4 separate regions of the Mus musculus genome follow, and all the other regions are reported to be linked to region 2. Evidence: microRNA targets listed by miRTarBase, many of them from high-throughput screens and not tested one by one. Region 2 holds a microRNA gene; each other region holds the end of a gene's coding sequence.
The links. The annotated mature microRNA mmu-miR-3572-3p reads UACACUUGUCCUUCUUUCCCCAG and lies in region 2 at 3,663-3,685, opposite strand. An mRNA with a match to its seed (bases 2 to 7 or 8) in the 3' UTR can be bound and repressed. Matches are read on the target gene's strand: a 7mer-m8 pairs with bases 2 to 8, a 7mer-A1 pairs with bases 2 to 7 and ends in A, and an 8mer does both.

Region 1 (5,198 bases), not on the chromosome of region 2:
TGTCCTCAGGATTGACCAAAGCAAACCACAACTTCATTTATTTTTTTTTTTCAAGATGTGATTTCTCTGTGTAGCCTTGGCTGTCCTCGAGACAAGTCTGGCCTTGAACTCAGAGATCCAACTGGCTCCTACGTGCTGGGATCAAAGATGTGTGCCACCACCACTTTGTGCTTAATTTCAGAATTCAACCTTTTTTGGGGAGGGTTGAGGGAAGGATTCTTTTCCATCTCCTAGATAGTCCTCCATTATGGGTCAGTTCTGACTCAATGACTCCATATTTCACAACAGTTTTGTTATTTATAATATCACCCGAAGAGACAGCTCAGTTGAGAGCATGTATTCATTCAGAGAACCTGGGTTGGATTTCCAGCGCCCACATGGTAGCAGACACCATCTCTAACACCAGTTCCAGGGGATCAGAAATGTTCTCCGACCAACCACGTCAGATACCAGGCATGCGTGAGAGGTGAGGTGCACATACATACTTGCAAGAACAATTATAAACTAAAATAAATACATGAAAAAGAAAAAATCTCATTGGGCCAGCAAGATAGCTCAGTGAGTAGAGGTGCTTGCTTGCCAAGCCTGGCAAACTGAATTTGACCCCTGGGACCCACACAGTGGAAGGCGAGAACTGAATCCTGAAAGCTGTTCATTGATAAAGACACCATGTACTCCGGCATGCCACACACACACAAGCACACTAAATGTACATTTTTTTTTTTTGTAAATAAAATCAGTACTCCCCATATATACTTATCTATAGTGTCTCTCATGAAATGGGACAAACCAGCAACATTAAAAGAATCACCTGCTATTCATCTATATTAGTTCTCTCTCCTGCTATGGCAGGTGAGGGAACGACACACCAAAGTGGGTTTGAATCTTGAATGTCTATTGTCCATGGGGGAGGGGGGAGCGACACAAACAAAAGTAGAGTAACTTTGGGTTTGGGATGTGGAAGCCTAAATTTCTGGTTTGTGAGACAGGATCTTGAAGCTTTCTCTCTTCTTGCCCCTGCCCTCTGGGGCCGGGGCCCCAGGCACGCATGCAGCACCACTCTTTGGAAGCCTAGAAACTGAGGAGTAGCAAGAGCCAAGTGTGATAGCTTTAATCCCAATGCTTAGGAGGCAGAGGCAGATGGACCTTTATGAGCTCAAAGCCAGGCTACTCTACATAGCCAAGTTCAAGGGCAACTAGGGTATGCAGAGAACTGCCTCAGATTAGCGGAAGCCATTCAGACCCCAAGCTGAGTAAGTGCTTGATCTTTTGTGCTTAACTCCAGGCCAAAAGACCATAGCTGGGGCTGGTGAGATGGCTCAGTGGGTAAGAGCACCCGACTGTTCTTCCGAAGGTCCAGAGTTCAAATCCCAGCAACCACATGGTGGCTCACAGCCATCTGTAACAAGATCTGACTCCCTCTTCTGGAGTGTCTGAAGACAGCTACAGTGTACTTACATATAATAAATAAATAAATCTTTAAAAAAAAAAAAAAAGACCATAGCTACAGTCACCTCAACCTAAGGTAAAATCTCACCAGGGGTGGCTTCACCTCTGTGACTTTGCCTGTTGAAACCTAGGAACTAAAGACTCAGAGTCCTTCCCAATATTTAAGATAAAACAGGATCACAAAAGAAACCAATGACATTAAAATACGGTTGACTATTCACTATGGCAGTGGTGGTGCACACCTTTAATCCCAGCACTTGGAAGACAGAGGCAAACAGATCTCTGTGAGTTCCAGTCAGCCTGGCTACATAGTGAGAGTTCCAGGACAGCCAGGGCTACACAGAGAAACCCTGTCTCAAAAAACAAACCAAACAAACAAAAAGTGTGGTTAACTGCAAAGATGTCTGGGTATGAACTTCTTAAGAACAGGAATTGTCTTGTCTGCAAGATCAGTGTCTAGCACAAAACCTGCATCTTCATGGTACTTACTGGGGCTTAGGTGACGCAATCAGTTGGCGTTTAGTACTTATACATAGACAGTACTTACAAATGTTTATTTAATGAATGGCTAGAGAAAAGATAGCTACCATCAAGTCAGCCTGAGGAGTAATTTCATTGCAACTGCCTATTCACACATCAGAAGCTTGCATGTGTATCACCCCACCTAAAATAATCTAGACCAGGTCTGTGAGAGATCTCATCTCTCCAAGTACCACTGCAGCTAGCAATGACAGCAATTGGAAGACCAGGAAAACAGCAAAGCTCATGTAATCTGTTTTAAGTAAACAGGCTCTGTCTCAAGAAGGAAATCTGACTTTGGAAGCATGCTGCTCACACAACCTTTAATGACACAACAGCTGTGAAGAGCAAAAAGGCAGGACCTGAAGGAGCCTGCCTCTATTCTCTAGGGTGCCTCCCGTGTCCTGAATTGGTCTGCCCATCTCTGGAAAAGAGAAATGACCTAAAGGACACAACAGGGATGCGATGTGGCTTTCTAGGTTCAAGTAACAGTTTTGGTCTGAAGACCGAAACTTTTAGAGCAGGCAAGATGGCTCAATGGATGAGGGTGCTTACCACCAAGCCTGGCAACCTGAGTTCAATTCCCAGGACCCACATGGTGGAAGGCGAGAACAGACTCCTGCAGGTTGTTCTCTGATCTTCACATACATACCGTAGCAAGCTCACCATCACACACACACACACACACACACACACACACACACACACAGATAAATAAATGTAATAAAAATTCCTATGTATTAACAAAGTGTAAGGAAGGCAGGAATAAATTCCTTCTTTCACCAAAAGCTTGTCCTAAACAAAAATTTTTTGAGACACTATTTCATATATCCCAGGTTGGTCTTGAACTTGGTATGTATGACCTTGAATTTCTAAGTCTCCCGTCTCTATTTCCCAAGTGTTAGGATCAGATATGTGGCCCCATGCCCAGTTTACTTCTGGCTGGAGACTGAGCCCAGGGTTTCATGAACGCTAGGTGACCACTTTACCAATTCAGTTCTGTCCCCAGCCTAACTAAAGAGTCTGAAAAGAAAAGTCCAGTTTTAAAGCTGAAACAAATCTGAATAGAGTTCAGAAGCCGCACTCTTCAGGGTCTTCAGAGTGATCCCTGAGGGCTTGCTTCCCTGGTGACACATGGCCGTCTAAGAGATGGAAGGTGCAACTTTTGGTTGCTTACAGGGTTTTCAAAACCTGCAGGCAGGAAGACAGATTTAGACAGGCATCCTTCTCTATTTTTTTTTTTTAAACAAAAGCCAAAATTTTACTTTTAATAATAATAATAAATCCTCCAGCTCCTAAGCTGTATGCTTTTTTGACCTATAAAGTCACCTCGAGAGTCTCTATATTTTCCCTAACATAGTAAACAATATAATTAAAGAAACCAGAAACTGCTTACTCTCCCCCAAACGCTGAAGAGAATCAACGACATGGGATCACAGCAGAAAGAGTGACCTAGTAGTACCGAATGTACAAACAGCATTTAGGAAGAAGCCCCACGCCTGGACGTTACTGACACTCCTGTCATACTTCTTACAATGTCAAATACAATGTCCCTTTCCCAGAAAGTGCAGCTCACTCAGGAGCCATCTAGTCCACACCTCAGGAAAGGTGTTACCAGTTGTCCCTGCCAAGCCTAAGCCATTTTATGAGTTCGGTATCTCACAGAAACATCTGTGGTATCAGAAGAGGAGAATGGCAAAGAGAATGAAGGCAGGCAGGCACCTGTCACTGCTGTCTGCCAAAAAGCTACTGAGCATGGGGTCCAGCAGACGGAAGGAAAAGAAAAGGAAGCACCAGGGAAATGACTGCTTTTGGTTCCAAACCCGAAACATGTACACACACACACACACACACACACACACACACATACACACACACACACACACACTTGCATGCTTACGTGCAGGGCTCCACCAAAAATAGCAGCTGGTCTGCACGAGGGACTCTGCCATTCCTGGAGTCAAGAAACGAAAAATGATGGCCTTGGAGCCCCACCTCCATGACAGCCACAGTCCAAGAATTAGAACAATTTATACCACATCACAGTCTGCAAAGGAATGGACTGATAGTCCTGGGCGAGGAGGGTGAGGGCTTTGACAAGGCTGGGGGCAAGGTGAGCTATCCCAAAAGCACAGCTGTGACAATCTTTTGATTGCTTTGTGTCTTTCTATAATCTCTGTCCTCTTCTGAAATTGAAAATGGTACCCAACCCTCAGAGAGCGCAAGGGGCATCAGATGCACCTCTGGAAGACCATTCCTCGGCCCCTCCCTGTCAAAGGGCTCCCCCTATGAGCTGCTGATCACACTACTTTCCACCCTAAGCAGAGCCAACCTCCTGTTCTTTCAGTTTTGCACACCAGCATCTGAGGCCATCATATCCAGGACACAGAGGCAAGCGTGCTTCTGTATCCACAGCAGAGCTGGTCATCTTCTGGAGTCAGATCTGTGTTCCAGGGTCTGGTCAATGCGTCTTTACAAGAGTGAGACCATGCGTGTATACACAGACAGACTATTCTGGAAAGGATTCCTGGATATTTTGACACTTCCCCTAAAAGCAATTACCTTCCTTGGGGAAAGATGGTTCAGACCCTGGGTGCCCTGTTTCTAACTTCTGGAAAGGCAGCTTGTTCTGTCCAGTTGTCAATGAGGAAGTAGGAGGAACCCAACATTTGCAGTTACAACGAGATTTTGTAGTTTGGTTTTTTTTTGTTTGTTTTTGTTTTTTTTTTAAAAAAAGTTCTATGTGGAAATGAGCGGGACAATGATAAAAATAAACATAATTAAAATTCCAAACCAAAACACAGCTCTTGGCCCTGTCCCCAATCAGTCCTCCAAGACCACAATCTCCACATTGTGGACCTGATGCTGGTGTTCTTCCATTTCGGCTACCACTTTCTCCTCAGTCCTCAGCCCTGTCTCCAAGATGACTGCTTTGCCCTCAGTGTCGTCAGCCTCGGAGTCTGGGGCAGGGTCGATTTCAATGATGGTCTGCCCATCCTCAGAGGTGCTTTCAACAGCCTGGATTGCTGACGTCAGGCCGGACTCCATGGCCACCAGCTCCATGGGGCTCACCATGGTGGCCATGTTGCCCAGGGAACTCCCATCCTGCATAGAGGTGGAGCTTAGCAGTGCCAAACTTGAGGAAGGGTGGATGGTCACTGTGTCTGGTGAGTTGCTCTTGGCAGAGGAAACCACCGTGGCATAGCGGAAGAGCTGAGGGCCAGAAGGCA
Region 2 (5,000 bases):
AAAACTAAAGCACTAAGAAATGGACAAATGGGAGATGGACAGTATCCCAGGCTAGGTGAACCACTTAGGGAACCAGCTTGGTCAGTCTACAGGACTGTGCCCAAAGGAGAAAGGCCAGCAAGGATTGAGGGTTGGGATTGGGTACACTAGCCATACCCCAGTGGGCCCAGGTTGGACGGGCCCCTCACCTGCTCAAACTCATCTGTGATGGTCTTAGGCTCCTCGTGCCTCTGGAACCACATCATATACTTGGTGTGGAATCGCCAGGACTGCTTCTTTAGGGCCTTGGCTGCCAAGTACTGTGCCTTGGTTCCCTGGGAAAGAAAATGCAGAGGAAAGATCAGAAGGTATCCAAATTGAGTAGCTAGCAGGGGGACAAGGGCAGGGCATCAGGGCTGGACCCAGACCCCCACCACAGACCAGCTGTGGAGAGTCCACTTGGAGACAGTGCTGGGAGCACAAAACATACCATGGTCAGAAGAAAATGAGACAGGAGGTGAGAATTGCTTTCAGAAAAGCTTTGAGAAAGAAGAGAAACTAATGCATAATGAAAGCTGAAAGGAGACGAAGTAGAAAACTCAGGAGGAGATGGGGAGGGGCTGACCCACTGCAGTTAAGAGGTCAGACAGTTCTGCAGAGGTCTCTAGGTCTTGGGAGTGTCTACTGCACTTCAGCAACTATCCTAAACTAAAGGGTTTCCCAGGAGCTGAGAGCTCTTGGCAGTGGAAACTGTACATGGCCTAGGGCCTGCAGCCTCTCCCTGAATCTTAGCAATTAGAATGTTTTGGGACTGGGTCAGGTTTAATTTGAGGGGGCCCAAGACTGGGATAGGGAGGGGTGCGGTCCCAGTGGCCGCAGTGGGACACCCACCTCGCCCCTCCAGCCCGAGGGGGGATGGCAGCGGTGGCGGCGGAGCTGGGGGGCCCGAGGCTGCCCCGGGGGCCCTGCTGTACCTCCAGATAGTAGAAGATGAAGAAGAGCGTCTCAGTTGACAGGCGCTGGTAGAACTCCACAGTGTCCGAGTGTGGGGGTGGCATCTGGTGGTGGTAGGGGGGTGTCGGGCAAGGGTTCCGGGGGAGGTACTGCCTGTGGACCAGTGAGGATTTAGTGCCAGGAGGCTCTGAGCTCCAGCCCTGCCTTCAGGAGAGTGTTCAGAAGCACACTTCAACCTGCTTTAGGGAGCCCCAAGTCAAGTCCTCAGCACTTTGAGACGAGTACTCTACCTAGTCTCTCAGGACCCAGGAACCAGCTCCTCCCTCAGACTGGGGAGTCCCGGTCCCCAGCCCTTTCTCCAGCCCCTCACCGAATGCGCTCGGAGTCAGAGGGGTGGGGCATGTGGTGCCAGGCGGCCTCTTCCATGGCCTGTTGGTATAGCTGCTCCTTGGTGAGGGAAACTGGCCCCAGTGGACAGACACCCAGTGACAATGGTATGTTCACCTCTGACAGCTGCAGGGGTGGCTGGGATGAGGTGGGTGGTGCTGATGTGCTGCTCAGGATGATGTCTGCAGGGGAGAGGCCATTAAGCACTTCAATGATGAGGATGGGGTCAGCTCCTTTTTGGCCTTTGCCCTCCCCACAATCCCATAACTGTCACCTCGATCAGTTAGGTGTAACGTTGGCACAGGGTCCTCAATACCAGAGCTGATAGCTGCCCGTTCTGCCATGGATTTCAGAGAGCTGAGTGGTTCAGGGGCCTGGGAAGAGAAAGGGGTTAAGTCTCAGGACCTGAGCAGAGACTGAGCTGCATAAAAATGTTCAGCCTAGGGGCTGGAGCAGTCAGTGGTTAAGAGCACTGTCTGCTCTTCCAGAGGTCCCGAGTTCAATTCTCAGCATCCACATGGTGGCTCACAACCATCTGTAATGGGATCCGATGCCCTCTTCTGGTGTGTCTGAAGACAGCAGGTGTACTCACATACACACAATAAATAAATAAACCAATAAACAAACAGATAAATCTTAAAAAAAAAAAAAAGCACAGCCTGATAGGCTCTGTACACTCTGCATAATCTGCTATTGCCAGTCCCCTATTTGCAAGATCCATCCATATTCTAAACCATGGCTATAGGGAAGCTGCAAATCTGAAGTCACCAATCAGCATGAGATTTGTGAGAGTTCACTCTCCTCTTTGCAGGGTCCATAACACATTCCAGAGGAAACGTGACCCTATGCAGTGGACAAGCACACACTTCCATAAAGACACCACATGCTGGGAGAACACCCGCCGGACTGCTCACAGTAGTATGCTTCTTAGAGGTGGGTGGCAGAACTGCAGGTGCTCCTGTTGCCTTAAGGGTGCCGACCATCCCTTGGGCATTCAGTCTCCTTGGGAACATCAGTGGGTTGGGCCTGCAGCCCCCCCCCCCCCCCCCAGCTTTCCCTGGTGAGGCAGCTCAGGGCTGGCTCTTCTACCCACTCTGTACAACTCTTCCATCACTGAAGCCCACCCACAGACCTGCACTCCAACTCTCTTGGAGGGACTCATTCTTCACCAGTCACAGCCAATGAGGCTCAGTCCTTCATGCTACTCTTCCCCCACCCTTCCAGGAGTCTCTCCACAAGGTGTCACTTTGCTTCTCCTCCTGTCAAAATCATGCTAACGCCGTTATCACCCACTCAGGAGAACTTCTAAGATGTTTCCCCTCTAGGAAAGTGCACTCATTGAATTTCCTGTCGCAGGATAGGCTCAGGGCTCACACCCGAGAAACTCACCTTGATTTCTGGGGTGGTGCTGAACTGTGGAGGACCATTAAGCAGGGTACCAGCTGCCTTGGCTTCACTGAAGCTGGGCGTTGGAGAACTGGGGGGATTTACAGGCAGTGGCACCAAGAGGCTGGGTCCCCCCGAGTTATTCCCTGAGCCTGAAGCCACATTCCCAGCCCCTGATGGGGCTGCCGTACTGGATTCCTTTCTGGGTAAAGAATGGAGGAGAATCAAATTAAGATCCTTGAAGACAGGCACAGAATATGGGATCCAAAAAGGGGGGTGGGGGCTGAAAGCAAGACAGCTGGAGCATGCAGAAGTGAATCCAACCTCTGGACTCCTCTTCAGTACAGCAGAGGTACTGAGGTGTGCAACCAGGATTTTAGGGTCCCCCCAACAGCTTATGAAGTTAAAGGACAGGGGACAGGGTAGTTCTAGAATTGTCACTGAAACAGTTTTGGAGTAAATGATTGCACAGATGCACATGGTGCAATCCCAGTAGGACTGGTAACGAGGCTGACAAGGCAGCAGATCTTTCATTAGTAATCTGATGTCAAGCTGAAGAAATGGAGGACTAGGATATTTTACTTGGAAAAGGGAAAAGCCCCCACACTCATGGGAGTCAGCTGCCTCAGAGCAAAGAACAGAAATGGGAAGACAGTGTAGTGTGAAACCGAGAGTAAAACATGTCCCACTTGGTAAGAAGCAGGGAAAAGAACACTTGCTGAGGTGAAGAAAGGACACACTGGGTAGGTACTACCCAGGAAGGGTAGAACTTGGAACCCTAAAACAAGTGGCATAAGAGCTTGTGCCCACACACTGCCACCCCACTACTCACGAGGTGCTGGGAGCTGGGTTGTGAGGGCCCGAAGTGGGCCCAAGGGCTTGGCTGCTGGCACTGCTGCCCCCACTGCTACTCAGGGTCACCTCTGCAGGGCTGTCTGCCACAACCGAACTATAGCCTGGGGAAAGAAGGACAAGTGTAAACAGGCTGTCAGCTACTGTCCACCTTGCCCTGTTCCCCAAACTGGTCTCCACTTACTTGTGGCACCGTTCTGCTTGCCAGCCCCTCCGCCTGTGCCACTGTTACTATTGCTGCTGCTCCCTCCGCTGCCACCACCACTTCCCCCGCTTGGCTGGGCACTGGGGGGCCGTGGCTGGGCATTGCTGGGCCCGCTGGCATTAGGTGGGGCCACAGCCTGGGCATAGGGTGCAGGAGTACCCGAGTTGTGGCTGGGAGCTGGACTGGCCTTAGGGCCCAGGGCACTTGTAGGTGCTGCTGGGGTAGAGGCCCCATTGTTGCCAGGGGTGGAGCTCAAGGCAGAAGTGGTAGGTGGGGGGCCAGAGGGGTAGGTGGGCGGCACAGCTGGGGACTGGGGGTGCTGGTTGCTGTGGACAGGCTTGGAGCCATTTTTGGCTGGAGACTGCAGGAAGAAAGAAAGAAAAAACAAAGGGTCAGGTACTAGACCAGCCTGTCCCCTATCCACCACCCTCTTCTTGTCCTCCTGCCTTGCCTCTGACCTGCTATTAACTGTCCACATTCTCTGAGGCACCTAGGAGACTTCAATCACCTTCAGGTTTAAGACCTATTTACTTCCAGCCCACCCAGCTGTCCCAAGTCCTCCCCGGACATTGTCCCTATAGCCCACATGAATCTGACAGGGTTTAGGTTAAGACAAGAGACCAAGGGAAACTCTCAAATACCCTGAACTTGAGACCTAAAGTGGTGACACATGCCTTTGATCCTAGCACTTGAGAGGCAGAGACAGGCAGCCCTCTATGAGTCTGAGATTAGCCTTGTCTATTTGGAGAGCTCAGGCCAGCATAGGCTACACAGCGAGATGCTCTTGTAAAAGAAACAAACAACACAAACAAAAACAAAAATCCCAACCTCAATTTGCAATTAGTTGGATCAGCCTAAATGTTTAAGCGTAAGGGAACTAGGACAATCAATTCCTTCCGAATGTCAGCTAATCATGAAACTGTAAAAATGCAGTGCTCCAGGGCATCCCTACTTAAACTACGCTCCAACAACCAGGCTGCCATGCCAAACTGCCTCCTAGCCTTCTGACCACCACACAAAAATCACAAAGAAAACTGGCCATTCACATTTTTCCTGGGACTTCTGCTTGACAGTCAAGGGGCCTGATAAGGTGGCAGAACTAAGCCCACCCCCATGATTCCTTGCCCCACCTCCTCACTCCATTACTCTGGCTGCTCCTAAACCCTGGTCCCCAAATTAGCTTCATTAGTGTGCACTTAGGTCCTCCCACTGGAGACTGTCCTTTCTATTAGCCTAA
Region 3 (5,198 bases), not on the chromosome of region 2:
CACGCTGTCTGGTTTCTCTGTTCCTGGGCGGGCTGGGCTGGCCAGTGCCCCCTGGGGCTCTGCACTGACTGAGCTTCTCCTCTATGAGGAACAACTGCTTAGTGCTTCTACTTCCCTTTGTTTCTTAGAGTTAAATGACCGTGAAGAAAATGAAAATCACTTTCCAATCATTTATGGCATCGGTAAGTAGCGTTTGTATCCGAGGGTTATATGGTGTGCATGTGGGCATAGCAGACTGTGTTAGGTTAAAGGTCTGTTGGTGAGTTTGGAAACCCTGGGCAAGAGGCCAACCTTGACTAACCTTTTAGCTGTGAGGTTGTTAATGCCAGTGTACAGCACAGGCTATGCACCCCACACTCATTCCTGTAGCACAGTGTCACATGTCACAGTGTCACACTGCCTCACTGGAGGGGAGGGGTCTGGCGTTTTTCCCCCCTAGCCAGTGCTCATGGGGAAGGTGTGAGGTATTTGGATCTCTATATATTCTGGGAATGAAGTAAGGAAGCCCAGGGTCCTCCTCTCTTCAGTTCTGAGGCTAGCAAATTGCAAAGGGCTTCTGGTGTATCCTTGTTTAGCTAGCTGGGTGGTGAGCACACAGGCACTTCTTATTTTATTCTCTGTCACTTTGCAGCCTCACAAGTGTCTGTGGTCGCAGCAGAGTTCTGAAACCACATGCCGCAAGGGTCCAGAGCAGGTCTGGGGCTGTTCTTCTCTCTGTGCTGGTTCAGAGGTTGTCAGCACCTCAGACTTCCTTCAGCTCCCGTTCCTTTCTGTTTCTGCTTCTTATGTGGAGTGCTAGAAATGTGAAGTCTGATTTGGATCTTTGTCGATTTAAAGTCACTCCCTTGTCCCTTGCAGCTGTCAACATTAAAACTGCAGAGATTTACAGAGCTTCCTTTCAAGATCGTGGTCCAGAGGAGCAACTGCGTGCTGCAAGAGCTTTAGCAGGAGGCCCAGTGAGTGGGAGCCTATTTTTGTGGGATAAAGAGGGAACCCCAAGAGCCTCAAGTTTTTAGACCCGAGAAAAGCTATGGCCACCTCCTTACCCAGCCCACTTCCTCAAGAGTTAAGAGGTTCGCCCTGCAGTGGCGGCACACGCCTTTAATCCAAGCACTTGGGAGGCAGAGGTAGGCGGATTTCTGAGTAGAGGCCAGCCTGGTCTACAGAGTGAGTTCCAGGACAGCCATGGCTACACAGAGAAACCCTGTCTCGAAAAACCAAAAAAAAAAAAAAAAAAAAAAAAGGTTCTAAGTGAGTTTAGGTTCTAAGTGCCAGACACTAGTTCTCTCCTTGGAAGATAGAAGAGACAGTAACAGCCTGCCTGGGACGTCTTCCCATAGAGAGGATGGCAGGGACGGAAGTGACCAAGGAGTAGTAGTTTAGTGAGTCACTTAGTCAGTTTTAAAGTCTAACTTCCTTAGGGCACTATATTTTTCCTTGTTTTTAGTAGTGCTAAGGATGGATTCAAGATGCTCCTCACATATGCTGGGTAAGTGCTCTGTCACCGAGCACTTTTAGCCTAGGCCCTTTTATCTTTAGATAAGAGCTTGTTATGTAAGAGCTTCAACATTTCCCAGGCTGGGATTACACAAGTGTACAACTGTGTCTTGGTCTCTAGGATGCTTAATATTCATCCCATCGGAAGAATTGGTAGAAGCTAGAAGAATTTACAATGTACAGAATGAGCCTGGCACACAGTTTTAATCTAAACACTCAGGAGATATACAGGTGGATTGCTGTGAGGTAGAGGCCAGCCTGGGATGTCAAGGCAAACACGATCCTATGTAACATGTAAACATGTTATGCTATGTAGGCATGATCTGTAGCACTGACATGAGAAGCTGGGTGTGCTGTGCATGCTTCCAGTCCTCGTACTGGGGAAGAGACAGGCTGACGATTGAGGTTTCTAGTCTTGCTGAATATGTAGTTTCCGCTTCAGTGGGAGGTCCTGTCTTGTCTTAAACAACTGAAGACACAGGGCACAGGTGCCTGGTCTCAAGTATGTGCCAGCAACGCAGGCCCCAGCAAGCTCCAAGTCTGCTTGTTTGTGTAGTGCTAACAACATCTCAGGAAAATGTTCAGAGACAGACATTTGTTTTGCCAGTCTTTTAATAATTTTCAGGAGTCCTAATCTTGTCTTTAAAAACTTTGCATTTGACTTGGTTTTGCTATGTAGCCTAGGGTGTCTTGGAACTGTGGCAAAGGATTCTTTTTGTTATTTAGTTAATAATTAGAATATTGAGTACTCTTTTCAAAACTGAAAATTCCCACTGGCATGATTTGGGAATTCAAGGAATGGCCAATCAGCTTCCACAGAGCTGGTAGTGATGGTATGCACACCTGTGATCCCACATTCGGGAGTTGAGACCAGCCCCAAGGTATGTGAGACCTACTGCAGCACAGAAAACCAGGGGAGGTATGGTGGTGCACACTTTTTTTTTTTTTTTTTTTGGTTTTTCCGAGATAGGGTTTCTCTGTGTAGCCCTGGCTGTCCTCGAACTCAGAAATCCGCCTGCCTCTGCCTCCCAAGTGCTGGGATTAAAGGTGTGTGCCACCACGCCCGGCTTGGCGGTGCACACTTTTAAAGCAGGAAGATCCCAAAGTTTAAAGGCCAGCCTGGTCTACCACAGTCAGTCCCTGTCTCAAAAACAAGACAGACAAACAGCAACAAAAGCAAAAGACCCAGACCTTTCTTTTATTCCTTTTGTGAGACAAGGCCTCACTGTCATCCAGGCTGTCCTGGAACCCACAGTGCTCTTCTCTGGGTCAGCCTCAGCCTCCTGAGTGTTTGATGGCAGGTATGAGCTGTCTGTCTTGGGCACTGTGAACTCTTTTATGTGACATGATGACTACTTGCTTGGGGTGGTAATAAGGAGCTGTGGTATTCTGTGTAACCATGAGGAATTCAGGCTTTAGTCAGACCTACCTGGCTCTGAGGCCCTGCTGCTGCTCACTGGACATGTGACCTGAGACCTCTCACCATCAGCTTCCCCTTGAGAGGACAGCATGTTGTCTTCTTGTAGGCTTGCCATCAAAAGTAAACACAGCAGTGCACAGGGAAGCATTTGGTGGTGGCAGCCTTGTTGTTACGGGAGGTCAATGTGCGCAGCTTATCAGCTAAGGGGACAGACAACCTTGGAACTAGCCTATAGCAGTGGTAGGGCAGTGTCCTTACAGCTTGTCATGGAAATGGTTCTTTTAGATGATTAGCATTTATGATGCAAAGACAGAACAACTCCGAATAGGCCCGTGTTCCTGGACGCCATTCCCACAAGTGGATTTCTGGTTGCAGCAAGATGACAAGCAAATCCTAGAGGTGAGAGTTTACAGGTCGGCTAAACCTTAAGTCTCTGCACCCTGGTTCCCATCTGTAAGAAAAAAAGGTTAGACCAGCTAAGGCTGCTTCTCCTCAATGGGTGAGAGTGACTATCTGTTGCCACTGGCAGTGTCTCTTTCCTTTACGGCAGTGGGGGATTAGTGACATCCTGGCAGCTGTTTATACAGGTGAAGCAGTAAGCAATGTAGTGTGTGTTTCCCCAGATGTACAGACACCACACTGAAACTAGCCCAGTAAATGTGTACGCAGCCCAAGGCTACTCTGATGTTGAATGAGAGGTCAGCCTGGTCCTCTCACATCCACCATCTTGTCTTTTCAGAGCCTTTCCACGTCTCCTCTGGCCGAGCCCCCCCACTTTGTTGAACATATTAGATCTACCTTGATGTTTTTAAAAAAATTCCCATCTCCAGAGAATATACTCTTTCCTGGAAATAAAGCTCTCCTCTACAAAAAAAATAAAGATGGCTTGTGGGAAAAGATCTCCTCTCCAGGGAGCTAACATCAGCTCAGAGTTTACTGAAGAATTCATCTTCACCTGATAAAGATGGTTGCTGGTTTGGAATCTACACCTGCACACTTTTACTTCTTCCGTCCTTCCTGTCTTTCAAAATAAAATCTTATTTTGGCAAAGGCAATTTGTTTAGATGACTTTTTACGGCAACAAAAAGTCCACATTCCCTCAGCAGTGAGGGAGAGAAGCAAGACCACTGGCTTCATTGGCAGGGCCTTCACAGACAAGTTGGTCGGGAAAACTCCTTATTCAAAAGTTACTTTTAGCCGAGGGCTTGTCTGCTTCAGCCTTACCGTGCTGCACAGCTGACGACACTGACTCGTCATGGCGGCTTTCTGTCCCAAATAAACACAAGCACAGTGCACACTGGGCACCAACTTAAAAGCATTACCAGTGTTTAAAAATACACTTAAATATGGTCAGGAAGAGATCTTAAGAGTTAATTACTCTATTAACAGGTGAGTCCTTACATTTGTTTACAGAGTGTAAGGAGAAAAGGTGCAGCAAGGGGCAGTCCTAGCCACAGCTCATGTGGACAGTCCTTACTTAGGCTCCCGGAGAAGCAGCAGTGGGGACAGAGGCAGAGGAGCTCCTGATGCCAACCAGTGAGGCAGGCACCTACCACAACTCGGCTGACCTACAGAGCTACTACGACAGACGGAGGAGAACCTGGAGAGTCACTGTATGCAGCTTCATCACGATTAGCTTCAGAGCCATGAGAGCAGTGTTTCAAGTGGCAGGTGCTTGAAGGCCACGGTTCTCAGTACAAAATGTGTGGTACAGGAAGAAAGGGTATGCCTATGTTGGACAGGCCAAAATAGTCAATTGTCATTTGTTCTACTTACAGATAAAATAATTAATTGCCCCCTAGAAAGCCCGCTTTTCTGACATGTGTCTGTGCAAAACTCCCAGTTTAGCACAAACAACAAAAGTTTTTATCATATTAACATGTGGCATAGTTCACGTCTTCCATAGAACTTCACCTTCCCTGAAACGACAGTTAGTACAGCCTCCAGCCCAGCACTACTGAGCTTATCTTAAGCGCTCCAGTTCCTCTACCTGTGAATGGTCATCTTCCTGATGCTGGGCCTGGTTCTGCAGGGCCTCAGTCTGTCTGGCCGTGAGATCAGTGGCCCTGGGAGGCTGCTCAGGGCTGTGGGCCTCTAGGTTGTCATGCTCTAGCCCACTGGACAGCTGTTCCACCTTTTCCAGGTCTTCAATGTGGCTGACTGAGCTGGTCTCACTCACAGCATCCGAGCCTCTCAGGGACCTTTTAAAAGGCTTCTGACCTAGGGACATGAGACGGACTATCCTGAAACTGGTAGTATATGCAAAGGCTCTGTGGTCCTG
Region 4 (5,198 bases), not on the chromosome of region 2:
GTAGAGTTGTCTCACTGGATGTTTATTCCTTCTTATTTGTGTGTAGAGATAATCTTTTAAAACATTCCATTTCATGTACTGATAATAATGAAAGACTTCCCTTGAGGAAAACAGTCCTCAGCCACCCATTCTTTTTACACTTGAAAACAAAGTCATTTATTTTCTGAGTGCAATGTGCACAAGAAGAAACATCATTGAGTCATTTCTTCCCTTCTACCTGGTAGTGTCTGGGCGTTCAGCTCAGGTTGTTAGGCTATATCTGCCAAGCTACCTCTGTGGTCTCAGAGTTTAGTGGAAAAGTGGTGCAGAATGAGGTATTAGAAAAGTAGCAGACAGACAATTTTCCTGTTTTCATTCAAAACTGTGTGGGTAGTTAGTGAACAAAGTTACTCTTTAATTATGTGTTCTGCAGTATGTATACACAAATCCTTTCCTCCCCTCCCTCTTCCCTCTCCACCTTGCTTTCTTTTTCCTTTGACAGGGCTAGGAATAGAACCAATGTCCTTGTAATCCCATCAAGTCCGTTGCCACTGAGCTCTGCCGTCTGTGGTTTGCAGATGGGCAACAGTCTGCTGCTGGCTTTCCCTTTCTTTATACTGTGGTACTTTGTGCAGGGATGGCTCCTATACACTGACTTTGGAGAACACAAGAGAAGTTTAGGCTGAAGCTGAGTGAGCTTTTTGCATCTTCCCAGTGCAGCCTGCTTTGTAGCCTCACGTGTGCTCTTCCTTCTTCTCAGGTGCTGCTACATCTTCTTCCTCCTCTTCTCCCTCGTCCAGCTCCATCACAGCTGCTGTTATGTTGACACTAGCTGAACCATCAATGTCCAGTGCATCACAGAATGGAATGTCAGTTGAGTGCAGGTGACAGCAGGACTTGCTAGAGCACTTTGCACTTAATGGCTGTTGAGGGCCACATCTTTTTTTATACTGCACAGTGGCACACAAACACACAAAATCAGACAAGCACTATTTTATATTTAAAAATTATTTCTTGACAAGCTGACTTGGCACTTAAGTGCACTTTTTTTATGAAGAAAAAGTACAACGAACTGCTTTTCCTCAAGCAATAATTGTTTCCAACTTGTCTGGGAATTGCGTGTGTCTGGTAACTTGAAGGCCTTCCACTGTGGCAGAGGAGGCTTTTCACTGCCTGTAGAGACGACACAGTAGGCAGAGAAAAGGTGGGCCAGAACATGTGAGAAGACTTACTGTATATGTATTCCCTTGTATTTTGTTAAAGCTGGAACATTTGATATTTTTCCATTCATTTATTAAAAATATGAACCTATTTTCATTTGTACAAGCTAATTGTTTTTTAAAGCAAGTCACTTTAGGGTGACTTTAATTGTATAAGTCAAGCACATGTAACAAATTCAAGACTTGCAGTTAGTTAACAGGATATTATTAGACATCATCCTGGTAACCAAATATTAAAGATTCTCTTTAAAAATGACTGAACATGTTTACAGGTTTGAATTAGGCTAAAAGGTCTGTGGTGGCTTTTCACACCCCTTCAAATTGAAATGGGACTACTGTACTTTGCCATTTTTCTATAAATCAGTATTTTTTTTTAATTTTGATATAATACATTGTGTGAAAAAAGAAAATGGCTAATAAACTGTATTAAATCTTAAACAATGTATAAAGATTGTACTTAGCCAGTTCAAAGTGTATATTTATTCATAATGAATTATAACAGTTATATTTTTGTGTTTTCTTGTAAATGTTTCTTTTCCCTTAAATACAGATAATTCATTTGTATTGCTTATTTTATTATGAGCTTACAACAAAAAGACTTCAGGAACAAACTGTTAGAATGGTTCAAGGTTGTTTATATGACCTGCCTCACAAAGATGGTTATTATTTTAAGTATAAGTAGCTAGTTGGGTAGTAGGCCTATACAATTCAATGCCTTGTATAAACTGCAGAATGAACGCCAAGCTGTTTTCACTTGTATTGACTTTATGTTGTATGATTCCAATCTCTGTTTGGCACTTGTATTTAATTCCCCACCTTTGTAATACATTTGTATATTGCGGATGTGTTCATTGAGGCTATTTAAAACCTGGCGCTGTTAATACACAGTACTTCACTGTACAGACCGTTTTACTGTTTTAATTGTGATTCTGTGTGCTTTTTTTGAATGAGGCTGGCATGTTTTATTTGTTTTCTGGCAATACATGTGAGAATCTCGAAGCGTTTTGTTGTAGATGCTAACGTGTCAGAATCCTTAATCCTTTACATTGAACCTTTCTAAGAAAAGCATTTTCAGTCTTGTAATGTGTGCTTACAGTAACTAATTTTGTTGAAAAATGATTTCAAATTACTCAAATTTGTACAGACTGTAAAGATTTGTTGACAGCAAAATGTTGAAGAAAAAACTTATAGAATAAAACTATAAAGTATATATTAGGATCTGCAAACATGATGAATTATGTAATATATTGTACAAATGTAAGCAAAAGCTCTGAAATAAAATGCCATAGTTTGTGAATCCTTGATTTTGTTTGTAGAAGGTAAAGTAATTTGAGTTCACTTTGTATGTGATGAGTGCTGAGAGTCCATGCAGCCTGTATTACCTATCACAAGGGCTCACATCCGTATCCCAAAGGGAGTGTTCCGCTGTTCAAAATTAAAAGTCCCTTTATACAGTGCTGGGTTGTATAGCATGTACTTAGTGTGCTCCAGTCCTTGGCTTCAGTTCGCAGCACTGCACCAAATCAAACCGTAAATTCAAAAAAAAGAAAAAAAAAAAAAGTAAGTAAAGTGATGTTTTTAGGCTGTTATTATATAACTTTGCTAGAGTCTGAATACAGATTTTTTTGTTACAGTTGGGGGGAGGGGGGCATTGTCCAAAGAAGGAAAAAGGTAAGTACAATTTTAAAACTATATTTTGGGGCTAGCAGAGGTAAGCACTGATGACCAATCTTGATTTATCAATCCCTAGAACCCACATAGTAGAAGGAAAGACTGTCTCCTGCAGTTATCCTCTGCATTCACATACACAAAATACACAATAGAAAAGGATGTTTCTGCAGTGTATAATGGCCCATACCTGTAATCCCCAGCCTCAAGAGGTTGAGGCAGTTAGATCTTGAGCTACAGACGGAGTCTGTCTCAGTAAACAAACCTTGTTTTTCCTTTTTCTTGAGAATAAAATTGCTATATTGCCCAACCTGGTTTCAGTCTCACAGATTCTCAATTCTGCCTGAGACTCAAAGTGCCAGTATTATAGACCAGTAGTTTCTTAAAAAATTTTATTTTTCTCAGAATTATTACCTACAGTGTCTCTTGTCATTTAATATGATGGAGCCTTTCTGGCTCTGCTTTGAGTAACACCTCTGTACCTGTTACAGGAATCCAGTAATCATTGTTAAACCAGCCAGTATGCCTCTCCCCATTTCCAAGGTGCCCTAATTTACCTGATATATTGTATATTATCTTTTAAAAAAAACACTGAAGCAATTTAATCTGTAATCTCTCAGTGTAGAGTCCTTTCTTATATAGACCAAGCTGGCCTTCAACTCAGATTTACCTGCCCCTACCTCCTAAGTGTAGGCATTAGAGGTGTGTACACTACACCTGGCCTTAAGCCACTTGCTCCCAAATATGTTCATTGTGGCACTTAAGGAGGAAGAAAGTGGAAGAGATGGGCTTATAGTCAGAGGGTCTTGAAAGTCATCTAACAAATTTGTACTATATCACTGCAACCAGTGCGGGGGTTAGGTATCAAAAAATGTGCTGCCACTTGAGAGGAAGGGGGTGGTAGCACAAACTCGATGGTGTTTCAGTCAGAGCCCAGGAGTCTTCAAGACTCCATAGCTTGCCTTTCTCCTCTTACACAGGTAAGAAAACAAGGACCGACAAAGGGGGAGTCTCAACAGAGTGCTGCATGGCCCTTGTCATTCTCTTTAGTATTCCTTTCCCCAGCTGCACGTAATACTGATGGCTGGCAGAACAGAGGTGGGTTCCTGGCCAGAAATTGCTCTTGCTTTTGAAGACAATCTTGAAGAATGAGGACAGTGAACTTGTACCTGATCCAACTGACTCCTGTACCTAATACTCTTGAGCTTCGATGCATCACATCTAAACCATGAAGTTGAGGCATGAGAATAGGTCTGAACAGGCTAGGAGGAATGTACACACTCTGCTGCAGTTTGATCATTGACGTGTCAATTTAAGTTGGCCTACAACTTACCCATAAGGAGATGATCGCATGCTCATGGCCAGCTTTTCAGACTTCTTGTACACCCAAGTCCAGGTTTCCCTAATCGGCTCAGGGCAGCACGACAAACAGGAGACCTAAACCATCAGTTCCCCAGCTCCTGAGTCCCGATCAGCCACAGCCTGCTTGGAGAAGGGTTCAGAATGGAGGGACAAGGCCCCATCTCGGAAGTGACTGGAACTTGGGACCAGAGGGAACGTGAGATTCGTGGGAGTCCGGAAGTGAGGACTCTGCGTTGAGGCCGTTCAAGGAAGCTCAGGTCTAAACTTGGTTTCGGAAGGAAGGAGCACAAGAGAAAAAAAGGGCCTGGAGTGGGGGGTGAGTGGTGTGCATTATTTCAGAGCCATGTATCTGTGTTCTTATCAAGAGCCCTGTGGAATGCCAGGCTGGTTTCAGCTTGCAGGGTGTCCAGTACTCTCTTGGTGACGGTGTAGGTCTCCCCCTTGAGTTCCACCAGTGTTCATGATGACTCCAGGTGAATCTCTGAGCTGTGTCCAAGTGTCCCTTTAGGACTAGGCTTAGCGGGTAACTCCTGTAGTTACTAGCTATGCCAGGGGAGCCCTCCTTCCCTTAAGCTGGGTAAGCACTTCACCATTGGGCCACATTCTCAGCTCACCAGAGCTCAGAGTCTCTCTTAGAGTCCATGTACGCCTCAAATTCCATTATGTTGCTGAGGATGACTGTAAAGTCTGGGCCTGCTCAAGCCTTTTGAGTGCTGAGATTACAGGCCTGTGTGGCTCCCCTGCCTTTACTTTTTATTTTGAGATAGGGTCTTAATCTTCCTAAGTTGCTCAGGCTGACCTTCAGTACACACCTAGCTCAGGAGCTGTTTTCTTGCTTCAGCCTTCCACTGAAGAGCTAGGATTACAGGCTTGTGTGGCCAGGCCCATCAAATCTGGCTTCATGACTAATTCAAGAGTCCCGTGTGACTGTATAACCGCTGAGGGATACGATATGGTACCACAGTATCG

Region 1: the mRNA of Gmeb1 is a reported target of mmu-miR-3572-3p. Seed matches in the 3' UTR shown: 7mer-m8 at 3,853-3,859.
Region 3: the mRNA of Pdxdc1 is a reported target of mmu-miR-3572-3p. Seed matches in the 3' UTR shown: 7mer-A1 at 4,253-4,259.
Region 4: the mRNA of Arid4b is a reported target of mmu-miR-3572-3p. Seed matches in the 3' UTR shown: 7mer-A1 at 1,669-1,675.

Annotation. Positions count from the first base shown.
Region 1 is chr4:132,220,974-132,226,171 of GRCm38, forward strand. Gmeb1 (glucocorticoid modulatory element binding protein 1) reads right to left here. Exons shown (of 10, transcript NM_020273.2): 10 at 52-5,198. The coding sequence ends at 4,792. Among named protein-coding and RNA genes, the nearest start is that of Ythdf2, 11 kb to the left of the region's middle.
Region 2 is chr7:3,654,695-3,659,694 of GRCm38, reverse strand. It overlaps Mir3572 (microRNA 3572), which reads right to left and starts at 3,733; the gene lies at 3,648-3,733. Cnot3 (CCR4-NOT transcription complex, subunit 3) reads right to left here. Exons shown (of 18, transcript NM_146176.3): 11 at 3,743-4,124; 12 at 3,539-3,662; 13 at 2,710-2,908; 14 at 1,595-1,694; 15 at 1,304-1,502; 16 at 954-1,086; 17 at 189-314.
Region 3 is chr16:13,831,479-13,836,676 of GRCm38, forward strand. Pdxdc1 (pyridoxal-dependent decarboxylase domain containing 1) reads right to left here. Exons shown (of 23, transcript NM_053181.3): 23 at 4,222-5,137. The coding sequence ends at 4,881. Ntan1 (N-terminal Asn amidase) reads left to right here. Exons shown (of 10, transcript NM_010946.4): 7 at 129-182; 8 at 859-956; 9 at 3,203-3,316; 10 at 3,657-3,972. The coding sequence ends at 3,836. Among named protein-coding and RNA genes, the nearest start is that of Ntan1, 15 kb to the left of the region's middle.
Region 4 is chr13:14,196,867-14,202,064 of GRCm38, forward strand. It overlaps Arid4b (AT rich interactive domain 4B (RBP1-like)), which reads left to right. Exons shown (of 24, transcript NM_194262.2): 24 at 740-2,737. The coding sequence ends at 867. Among named protein-coding and RNA genes, the nearest start is that of Gm26129, 110 kb to the left of the region's middle.